Linked DNA regions of Rattus norvegicus. The protein of the gene in region 2 binds, or shares a complex with, the protein of the main gene of each other region. Links are inferred from orthologs where the notes say so. Each region holds a gene or a part of one and is shown on either strand. Other genes may lie near its edges. The genes, in order: Snrpd2, Plrg1 and Cript.

The links.
Region 1: Plrg1 (region 2) and Snrpd2 share a complex: the UniProt entries of both Homo sapiens proteins name them as parts of the minor spliceosome. The link is inferred for Rattus norvegicus from reciprocal best matches to the Homo sapiens genes PLRG1 and SNRPD2.
Region 3: Plrg1 (region 2) and Cript share a complex: the UniProt entries of both Homo sapiens proteins name them as parts of the minor spliceosome. The link is inferred for Rattus norvegicus from reciprocal best matches to the Homo sapiens genes PLRG1 and CRIPT.

The regions. Positions count from the first base shown.
Region 1 is NC_086019.1:87,925,237-87,928,985, reverse strand, and holds the start of Snrpd2 (small nuclear ribonucleoprotein Sm D2), read right to left. Parts: upstream 2,578-3,749; 5' UTR 2,504-2,577; coding exon 2,502-2,503; intron 1,213-2,501; coding exon 1,033-1,212; intron 9-1,032; coding exon 1-8. Other genes in the region: Qpctl (glutaminyl-peptide cyclotransferase-like protein), read left to right, coding at 3,202-3,411. UniProt on the Homo sapiens protein: Plays a role in pre-mRNA splicing as a core component of the spliceosomal U1, U2, U4 and U5 small nuclear ribonucleoproteins (snRNPs), the building blocks of the spliceosome.
Region 2 is NC_086020.1:170,719,585-170,723,149, forward strand, and holds the end of Plrg1 (pleiotropic regulator 1), read left to right. Parts: intron 1-1,247; coding exon 1,248-1,387; intron 1,388-1,771; coding exon 1,772-1,965; intron 1,966-2,755; coding exon 2,756-2,815; 3' UTR 2,816-2,935; downstream 2,936-3,565. UniProt on the Homo sapiens protein: Involved in pre-mRNA splicing as component of the spliceosome. Component of the PRP19-CDC5L complex that forms an integral part of the spliceosome and is required for activating pre-mRNA splicing.
Region 3 is NC_086024.1:13,340,081-13,343,829, forward strand, and holds the start of Cript (cysteine-rich PDZ-binding protein), read right to left. Parts: upstream 2,855-3,749; 5' UTR 2,792-2,854; coding exon 2,776-2,791; intron 269-2,775; coding exon 203-268; intron 1-202. UniProt on the Homo sapiens protein: As a component of the minor spliceosome, involved in the splicing of U12-type introns in pre-mRNAs. Involved in the cytoskeletal anchoring of DLG4 in excitatory synapses.

The DNA.
Region 1 (3,749 bases), on a different chromosome or scaffold from region 2:
TGCAGTGCCTGATGGGGTAAAGGGTGGAGGAAAAAGCCAGAGTGAGGGGGACATTCTGAATGTGTGAACCCTCCAGCAGCAGGCATAGGGACGGAGTTCAGGTTCCACAGTGGGGATGGGCAGGCTTCAAGGTGTGATCTCAGCCCCATCTTAAGTGTCCCTTCTGTGCCTCAGTTTCCCCCTTCTTGAAATGGAAACAGTCTACTTCATGGGGCTGATGTGAAGATTGGATGAAAGAAGCACTTAGGACCCCGGTACACAGTAAAGGTCACCAAAATGGCCCTGGCTCTGCAGTTAACTCTAACTCTGAGAGAAGCATTAGCTCCCTCCAAACCTTAAGTTCTGGGGTTAGACATGGTTCCCAACACGTGCACTCCAGTGCCTCATGGCCCTGTCCTCATGCAGGTGGACATGTGCTCACACTTGGATCAGTTCATTCCACGAATGCTTGCTTGAGGACAGTGACGATGAGCAAAGTACAATGCCAGATGTGTAGGACCACGTCACAAGGCAACTTCCATGCTAACTAAAACAAGGCAGGAGGGTATGCTTCGCCCCTGTAATCCTAGCGCTTGGGAGATGGTAGCAAGAGGATCAGAAGCATAAGGTTAGCCTCTGCTACATCTGTAGCCAGCCCAGGCTACATAGTTAAAGACCCTGCCTCAAAACAAACTAGAAAGCAGTAGAAGATATTTGACATTGATGTCTGGCCTACAGAGGAACAAACCAAACATCTTAATTCCTGTCCCTCCTCCTGCCGGGGATCTGATGACTTCTGAAGGTATTAGACATGTCCACAGTACACAGACAGACTCACCCGCAGACAAAACGCCCAAACACATAAGATAAAAAAAAAAAAGCCAAGCACCCCCACTTTCTAATTTTTTGAGCTAGCTGGGTCTTGCCCTGTGACCCTGGCTGGCTCCAACTGACAGTGATCCCCTTGAGTGCTGAGACTAAAGGCACTTTGTCACCTTGCCCACCTTATTACGACAATTCTTCTCAAATGACCTTCCCCAAGACAATGCCCACCTGTCAAAGGCCTTCACCCGGCCCAGGAGCTTCTTGTTGTTTCGACAGTTAATGAGCACTTGCGTGTTGTTTTTGACCGACTGTGTGAGCACCGAGAGGGGACCTGTGTTGAATTCCTCCTCCTCCCGCTTCTGCAGCTCCTCTGGGGTCATCTCACTCTTGGGTTTATTGAGGAGACTCCTGGATAGAGAACCCGGGGGGTGAGACGGGTTCAGGTTGGAAGCATAAGTGACCAAAGCTACATTGTCCAGTGTCTCCCCAGCCTGGCCCCCAAATGCCCTTCCTGGTACAGTCTTCTCTGGAGGCAGGAGAGACATTTCCAAGTTAGCCTGCTCCAGCTCATTAACCAAACCTCGTCCAGCCACTGTTGACCTTGAATTCTCAATTCTCCTGACTCCATCACCCAAGGTCTGAGATTACAGGGGGCTCACCATCATGCCTGGCACCTGATTCTTTCAAACCTCACTCTGTCGTCTTATCTTGTCATCTGCTTCCATGATATGTCCAAAAATTTGGCCATTTCTCTTCCATCCCACCCCACAACAGTGTCTCCCTGTATAAATAGACCTGCCCCTGGAACTCAGACTTGTCTGTCTCTGCCTCCAGGATACTGGGGTTACATCTAGTCTGTGTGTGGCTGAGGACCAAACCCAGGGCCCACAGTAGGTAAGTACTCTGTCCACTAAGCTAAATCCCCAGCCCAAGTATTGGGCTTTCAATGCCCAATACTTCTGTGCTACCTACTGGTGTTATTTCTTTCCTACTCAATTCTCCATTCACACTCCTGATCATCTAAGACATACTGTATGTACTTGTTTATTACTCTATGGCTTTCCTATTGGATTCTTTTTATAAGCCCTGAGAGATTTTTTTTCCTTGGTAGCAAGGACCTTCTATTTACCATGTGTCTAACTTACAGTCTACATAATATCCGCTCAATGAATAAACCATTGTAGTAGCCTGCTACTCTGACAATCTCTAATTAGGTTCAAAAGTCCTAATTTATCCTGGTTAAGTCCCATACGTCTCTATTTACTATTTCTAATAGTACTTCCTTCTCCGCCAAGCTCTTCATCCATTAAGACCACTTCTATATAAAATTACTATTACTTTTGTAAGCGGACACGCTATGAAGCTGGTCAAGGCTGACCACCAACTAGCGATACTCCTGACTCAGCCTCTCTAGGCTTGGGATTCTAGGCATGTGCCATCAGACTCAGTTTTTCCTTTACGGTTCATTTCCGCAAGCCTCGGTACCTAGAAGAGTCTTACACCCATTATGGAATAAAGCTGTCCCCTCTCCGGAACTCAAGAACCGAGGCCCCATGCCCGTTCTCAAATCCCTCAGAAGACATTATTTTTGCCCGAGAAACTCTACCCTCAGCTATGAGCACCCCATTTCGATTGTTATTTAGCTAAACCGTCCCCCTCCATCTTCGTGTCCCCGCCGAAGCCCGTCCCGGCCTCACATGGTGAAGGTTTCGCTAGCAGATCACTCCCGCCTCCAAGCGCGTTGCTTTAGCCTTTGGAGCACAGCAAGAGAAGGGCGGGACTTCCGTCTCCTGCGGCTGACTTCCGTCGACGCCTGCGCAATCACGACTGTGGGCGTGCCCTGTTACCATAGTGACTCTAAGGCTACGCTCTCCTGCAGAAAATGCCTATAGGGAGGATTTGAAGCCTCTGAGGATCACAATAGGTTGTCTGCTCATGCGGAAAATAAAACGGGGTCTGACTGAAATTGTTTTCCCGCCTAACTGTCTAGTTGGGAGAAGGAAAACGCAACCCGGTTTCCAAAATACCCGCCGACAATTTTCTTGAGGGCATGGCTTCAGGCAAACCAATCGGTTCCTTGTTTTAGGGATGGATGCCGCCCCTTTTTCCTTGAACCACAGTTTCTTGATCGACTTCCGTAAGGGGCGTGGCCCCGCGCCGGGGAAGGTTTCGTATATTCGGACACAGCTCATTGCCTGTTTCTCTCCCGTGGGGGCGGGCCTTAAGGTTTCCGCGCTCCCTTTTGGGTGGTGCGGCGCTTAGGAGAGCCAATCGCAATCGATTGGGGGAGGACGCAGTTACTGTGTTTCTTTATTGGCATTTGTAACCTCCGAGAGGCGAATCTTGGCCTAAACTCAAACCACCCTGCGGGGGGATTGGTTTCAGGGCAAAGCTGCCATGAGTCCGGCCAGCCGCGGGCGGTCTCGGCAGCGGCTCGGGGATCGCGGCCTCATGAAACCACCCTCACTTTCCAAGCGCCGTCTTCTGCCGCGGGTGCAGCTCCTGCCCCTGCTGCTGCTGGCGCTGGCCCTGGGCTTGGCTTTTTATATCGTCTGGAATAGCTGGCACCCTGGGGTTGAGGAGGTATCACGGAGCCGGGATCTGCGGGTAAGCCTTGGCTGGGGCCCAGCCAGCGTCATTTCCCTCTTTCCCTTCATATTGAGTCTCGGGTTAGCGTGGCCTTATCGTTTAGCCCTTGCCGCCTGTGCTATTTCTTTATCCATCACTTGAGCGTATGCCCCTTCCCAACAAAATAAGGTTTCAGGCTTGTTTTATGATTAGACCCCTCTGAAGAGGATGCATCCGCATAGAAACACTGGTAGATCTGAGCTCTGTGCCCAAACCATTTATTTAGAAGTCTCCATCACCCGTTTGCAATTTCTTCGTCAGGACTGCAGTAGGCTGGATCAGATTTGCTTTGAAGATTTCTCCCAATCTAGGAAATC
Region 2 (3,565 bases):
CTACCTGTGACAAATAAGGCCAAGTCACAGTTAAAGCTGCATGTCAGAGTAGGCATGTCAGAGTAGTGTCTGGGTGTGTTCAGGACATACAGGGCACTGAACCTCCTTTACCTGTCTTAGATTGTTTCACATATGGTGTCCTGGCAGACAGACAGAAGAGTTAGATTCCTAAGGGAGAAATCAGTGTGCGGGAGGAAATGGAGGAAGAGCCATCAGCCCAGCGGTCATAGTTAGCAGAGAAGGCGGGTCACACTGACGTCAGTACATCACTCCTGATGCTCAGCTCCTCCCTCTGCCGCTCCCCTCTCCTTCCCTTTCTTGTCCCCTTTCCTTCCTCTTTCTCTTGCCATCCCTCTCGTTCCTTCTTTCCCTTTCTTCAAGATTTTTTTTTGCCCAGTGTTTGTGTGCATTGGTTGTTAGTGTAGCAGTGTGCCCAGTGTTTGTGTGCATTGGTTGTTAGTGTAGCAGTGTGCCCAGTGTGTGTGTGCATTGGTTGTTAGTGTAGCAGTGTGCCCAGTGAGTGTGTGCATTGGTTGTTAGTGTAGCAGTGTGCCCAGTGAGTGTGTGCATTGGTTGTTAGTGTAGCAGTGTGCCCAGTGAGTGTGTGCATTGGTTGTTAGTGTAGCAGTGTGCCCAGTGAGTGTGTGCATTGGTTGTTAGTGTAGCAGTGTGCCCAGTGAGTGTGTGCATTGGTTGTTAGTGTAGCAGTGTGCCCAGTGTGTGTGTGCATTGGTTGTTTAGTGTAGCAGTGTGCCCAGTGAGTGTGTGCATTGGTTGTTAGTGTAGCAGTGTGCCCAGTGTGTGTGCATTGGTTGTTAGTGTAGCAGTGTGCCCAGTGTGTGTGTGCATTGGTTGTTAGTGTAGCAGTGTGCCCAGTGTGTGTGTGCATTGGTTGTTAGTGTAGCAGTGTGCCCAGTGAGTGTGTGCATTGGTTGTTAGTGTAGCAGTGTGCCCAGTGAGTGTGTGCATTGGTTGTTAGTGTAGCAGTGTGCCCAGTGTGTGTGTGCATTGGTTGTTTAGTGTAGCACACTGAAGAAACCAAAACTTCGCTCTGGGATGTCCGTGTATTTCAGCAGTCGGACAAGGCTGGTGGCACTTGGAATGAATACAGTGATGATTTTGTACTGTGATGAACAGGAACATTTTACTGAGGCTGTCGGGACCAGTGAGCACACAGGGATTTTTAAAGCTGCGAGTTTCTTTGATGCACTGTACTCCCCATTAAGTCTTGTCAATCTTTGTTCCAGTTACACATTTGCATCTGGTTCTCCAGATAACATAAAGCAGTGGAAATTCCCTGACGGAGGCTTCATTCAGAATCTCTCTGGGCACAATGCAATTATTAACACGCTGGCAGTCAATACGGATGGAGTACTTGTATCTGGAGGTAACACAAGGTTTTCATGGTGTTTCGTTTGCCCTTCTGTTGTCGTGAGTGAGTTAGGGTAGTCTCTACAGCATCACACTATGTTGTAGTGCACTCTCCTGATCCACGGTAGCCTGTTGCATTGTTTAGACATCTTTGCATTCCCATGTGATAAAGGTAGGGACTTATGCTAGTAACTGCCCGAAGTGTAGTTGGATTTTAAATGTTATGGTTCCTTTCCAGGTCTATAATTCTGAATTAAACACAAATGAAAGTAGACAAAACCATATTAGGGAATTTGAGTGTGTGTGTGTGTTCCACATCCTTGTGTTGCCGATGTGAAGTTTATATCATGGGCCATGAGCTGTGGAAGGGATAGAAATATAACTACGTGTTCCTTTACAGCTGACAATGGCACTATGCACCTTTGGGACTGGAGAACTGGCTATAATTTTCAGCGCGTTCATGCTGCTGTACAGCCTGGGTCTTTGGACAGTGAATCAGGAATATTCGCTTGTGCTTTTGATCGGTCAGAAAGTCGGTTACTAACAGCTGAAGCTGATAAAACCATTAAAGTTTACAGAGAGGATGAGACTGCGGTAAGTTCTTAGTTTCCATATCTATCTATCCATGTGTCCGTCCATCCATCTGTCCATCCATCCATCCACCTACCTACCTACCTATCTTCCTATCTTCCTTTTTAGTTTAATTTAATTTATGTTTTATATTTAGAGACACGGTATCACATGGTATCCCTTTCTAGCCTAGAATTCACTTTGTAGCTTAAGTTGACCTTAAACTTGAAGCTGTCTTCTTGCCTCTGCCTCCCAGAAGCTGAGGTTATTGGCATGAGCCACCACACCCACCTTTGACGTGCATTTTAAAGTAAAACAACTGCATGCCAATTGGCAAGGACTGCTCATTCGATTACAGAAAGAAAGGGACTCACTCGAGTACTTTGGGGTTCCTCACCTGGATAGTGATCTTGGGACTTCTGTGTGGTTTCATTGATGCAGAAACATCAGTATAAAAGCATTACTTTTTAAGTCCAGTTCTTCCTCAATACAGTTACCGGAAAGGAAAATGATACATGAATCATGGTAAACAGTAGACTGCTGTGGAAACAAGATGTAGAATTACAGTGGTGGTATTGCTATAATATCTAAATGGAAATCTGACGTTAGGTGAAAATCCAACCCAGCATGTGGTAAACCATTTATCCCTTGTTAACCTTGGATAGTGCCAGGAGTTTGTCAGCTGTTTCTAAAATTCTTCCAGATCTCCTAAACACATCCTGCCGATGAATACTGTGACTTAGCAGAGACAGGTCTTTTTGTTGAAAGGAAACAAACTAATAAAATAACACTTTGTTTACTGTTCTGTTTTCAGACAGAAGAAACTCACCCAGTCAGCTGGAAACCAGAAATTATCAAGAGAAAGAGATTTTAGTGTCCTCATGGCTGTCCTGTTCATAGCTTGGTGTTGCTGAGGATGTCCAGTCATTCATGGATGCTCACTTGCAGAAAACATGGCTGCTTTGTATTTTACAATAAACTGCTCCCCATGTCCCTCACCTGTGTTTGATTTCTAAAATAAACAGTTTATAGTTTTAGTAGTAAAATGTAAATATAAAGAACTCAGGCTTATTGAGCCTTGCTGATTCTAACACCATGTTGGCAGGGATGGATGCGCGCGCGCGCGCGCGTGTGTGTGTGTGTGTGTGTGTGTGTGTGTGTTTCACCTAGATGTACATCTGTATACAATGTGTGTGCCTGGTGCCCATGAAAACCAGAAGAAGGTGTCAGATCCCTGAAAACAGAGTTACAGATAGTTGTGAGCCACAATGTAGGTGCTGGGGATGGAACCTGGGTCCTCTAGAAGAGCAGTCAATGTCCTTAACCATTTCTGAAACCCCTATTTTGATAATTCTGTTAGAAAAATCCTAATGGATGTTTGAGAGGAAATTTTTTTAGGCAGTTCTTTGAAAATTTAAGACAATGGCTGATAATTTGGGATTAAAGGATTGAAGTTCTTTCTGGGCATGGTAGTGATAGGTACATGCTTTTAATCCCAGCACTAATGAAGCAGAAGCAGGTAGTTCTCTGTTAGTTCGAGATAGCATAGTCTGTGTAGTGAGTTCCAGGTTAGCTTGAGCTACCTAGACACGTGGTGGTCGGGATGGTGGTGGTAGAGGTGGTG
Region 3 (3,749 bases), on a different chromosome or scaffold from region 2:
CCTTCTTGACTCTCTATATGAGGAATCCATTCATGAAACTCAGATGATGAAAAAGATATGAATTCACAGGGGAATCCGGTCCTCTTTGTGTTTAATGGACGAGAGAGTCATCATCTAACACTGCACTCTGCAAACAGTGAAGCCCTAGAGCTGTGTCCACAAGCACTTGATCCAGCTCCTGTTTCCTACTGGCAAGCAGTACCTGTGGTGTTCCGGGCCCCGTCCTTCCATGTGTCTGGAGTGATAACCCTGCCGAGTTTCTTTTCACCTGTTGTAGCAAGATAGCAAAAGAGTACAACTGTCATCTAATACACACACTGTGTGGAAATAAAATAACAAAACGCATTTCTCTGCTAACGTTACAATAATAATTTAAAATAATAAATATACTGTATTATGCCTGAAGTACATAATGACATGAAAAGTGAGACTACAGTAGGAACCTACTAACACCAGGGTAGAAATCAATGAATGAATGATAGCAACTGTGGGCAACAGATACTGGTTCTAAATAAAACTTCCAGGACAACAAGATGCCCTACCAACAGGTTCCACTGATTATACTTTAAACAATTCTGACAAACGTATTCATTTCTCCCACATTCTCTAATCACCTAGTCTGTACAAAGCACTGTGGGAGGTACTGAGGAAAACAAAGCCATGAGTCTAGATTCAGGGGCTTAGACCCAAGTTCACGAGCTCCTTAAGAGCTTGTAGGCTGATAGCTGGGAGGAAACGAAGCAGGCGGGACTGCACAGAAACCTAGAGCATGTGCTTATAACCTTTTCTTGTTCTGACTGGAGCCTTTCTGAAAAGTGAAGAAGCCTTCAGTAGAACCATAAGCTGGAAGCCTGAGCTGTGAACTAAGGAGATGGAGCTTAAGTGTTGGGAAAGTAGATGAGGAGATGAAGTCAAACAGTAAATAAAGGACACATCCCCAGGTCAGGCATGGGAAGCTCAGGGGTACCACAGTGCACAGAGTACTCTGGCGAGCTCAGTGTGAGGTGGGAGAAAGGAGGTTGGAAGGATAGCTTAGGTGTTTGTCTGTAGAGGGCCTCGGACGTCAAGATCCAAATGGACAGTTACTTCTTAGAGTTTAAGTAGGGAAAAGGTCAGGTGGAGAGGTGAACTGGATACTCAGTGGTATGGATGTGCTAGCTGAGGTCAACCATTTCCCAAAGATCTAATGGATCAAGAGAAACAAAGCAGACCAAGACAAACACCCTGGAACCCAGTAAATGGAAGAGAACTCTAAAAATTTGGAGACAAAGAACTTTTTGAGCAACTTATGACAGAAGGAAAGGCAGAACTGAGGTGGCTGCCTGACAGTACAGCTTCTGTATGAGCAGGAGTTCAGTTTACATACAGGGTGAGTGTAATGAGCACACAGACTAGGAGGTTACAAATAGTAAAACATTAGATTTTTCAGAAGAGCAGAGGAGTAACTATAATAGAAAGAAATGGCCTTTTACTGCACAGCACAAAGGACAGGGTCATATCTACATTTAGGCCACATTTAATTAAACACTTTCCCCACTTTCAAAAAGAATAAAAAGCTGTTTGAGAATGGAGCTGATGAAGGTAGCTAGGAGTGGTCTTCCCGAGGGAAGGGCATACCAATTGGTTGTCCAGTGCTAATGGTCAGCCCGGAAACATACATCCAAGTAACAATATATGAACTGAGCAGGCTGCATTTATAAAACAACTATATACATGTATGCATTCAATACAATTAGTGAAAAAAGAGGTCAGGAATTTGATGGATATATGGGAGAGTTTAGAGGGAGGAAATGGAAGAAAGAAATGTTGCAATTATATTATCTCAAAAATAATAAAGAAATAGAATTTACTGGAAAAAAAAAGAATGGTGGCTGAGTCTGATGCCACAGCTACTAGGTGGTGTCTGTGTCCAGAGTTCTATGTACTGTGGTTGTATATATTAGCCATTAACTGAGATCCAAGTTGGAATCTTGTCAGAGAAGGCTGTCTAGCCCAAGAAAGAGATCAAGAAAAGAAAGCTGTTTTAAACAAATCAACAGCTTTTGCAGTAAAAAACAAAAAACAGAAAACGAAAAAACAAAACAATAAGTATTTTCAACAAATCTCAGGGGTTTCATTGGAATTACTGAATGGTAACTTAAAGAGTTAAAAAGACCTTTCTAAAAGCCAGGGATGACTACATAGATTTCTTTGGTGGTGATGAGACTCTCTCCTTCACCTGACCTAATGCTGTATTAATGAACTGACGGGATGGTATAAGATATTCAATTAAACTTAATTTCAGATGACCACTGAATTAATTTTTAAAGTAAAATCTGTATTAAATGCGGCATGTTTTGTAGTAAGGAACAGCGAACAAAAGCCAAGATTTAAATATTATGCGGGACATATTAATAATACTAGAAATTAATCATTGCCTATAATCTTATAATGTAACTGAGAGCCTGGGATTTATATTTGTTACACCTGGCAACTCTAGATGCTACCAGAAAGATTTTTAAGTCTCTGGGATCCTGTCAAGAAGTTATAATTAAAGAGATCCAAGGAGGGCGCGAGGACGGTGACAGAAACAAGCATAGATGTGCAGAACTGAGACCATTCTGAACACAAAGCATAGGGCTATAGGGTCCCGGGATAGGCAAGGACCGTGGGGCAAGGAAGGAAGACAAAGGTTATACTACAGACCGGTGAGAAAAAACAAAGGCCGAAATCCCAAGAGAATTTCGTCGGGTTCCTCCAGCCTCCACCTCCCACAGAAGCAGCGCCTTAACTTACACTTTTCACACACCATCCTTCCACGGGTCGTCCTGTCCCCCTCAACCCGCAAAGCAGGAGCAGCTGCCAAAATACATCAACAACACAGCTGAGAAGACTTCCTCTTCCGGTTACGTCAGTTCGCTTCCGTACTCAGCCCTCCCGCTCCGGCCTATCCAGGATGGAGAAAGTCGCGGGAGGGATAAACGCGAGCTCATGGGCGGGGCTTCCTTTATCGGTCCGCCTCTTCTCTTCAACGATTGGCTATCCGCTTGTGAGTCCCCCGCCTTCTGGTCTGCGCCTGCGCGAGGGGCCATGGCAGCCTGTCGCACCTGAGGGTGGGAGGCGGTGGTGTCCCCTTCCCTTCGGCGGGCGGGAGAGTTAGGTAAGCGGGAGGGATGCTTCCTAAGTTCTCCTGGGGCAGGTGCAGGTCGCTCTGCGGACTGCTGCCGTGGCTTCCAAGGCGCCACGCTTCCGGCGGGCCAGAGGATGCATGGCGCGACGGACCCTCTGAGATCCCGGCGTCTGTCGGCGGGACCGACCCTCTGTCACCGTCTCTCAGGTTACCGGGTCGGCCGCCCGGGCTCTCTCTGATGATGCCCCTCAGTTGCCCACACTCGCGCTGTCCGGGGTTGGGACAGAGTCACCTGGGTGGGGTTGAGCCGCGGTCAGCGCCCGGGCAAAGGCTGCTCAGGAGGGTTCGGGAGCAGCCATGCCTTCCCACCGGGCTCTCGTGGGATCGCGACTCCGAAGGGCGGCTTCCCAGGTGTGGCGTGCTAGGGAAACTCGCCCGCCGGTGCCCGAGGAAGGGCTCCATTCAACCGGCCTTTGCGTTTGGGCACGGCTCGCCGTGTTAGATAGGGATTTGCAGGTGGCCCAGAGACAAGCTCTACTTAGAGGATGGATTTCTGATCCCCCTACCTGCCCGATCCCTCAGTGGAGGGGAGAATCTGAGAAACTTTTCCGAAGTCTTTTCATTGTTATCCGTTCTTGTC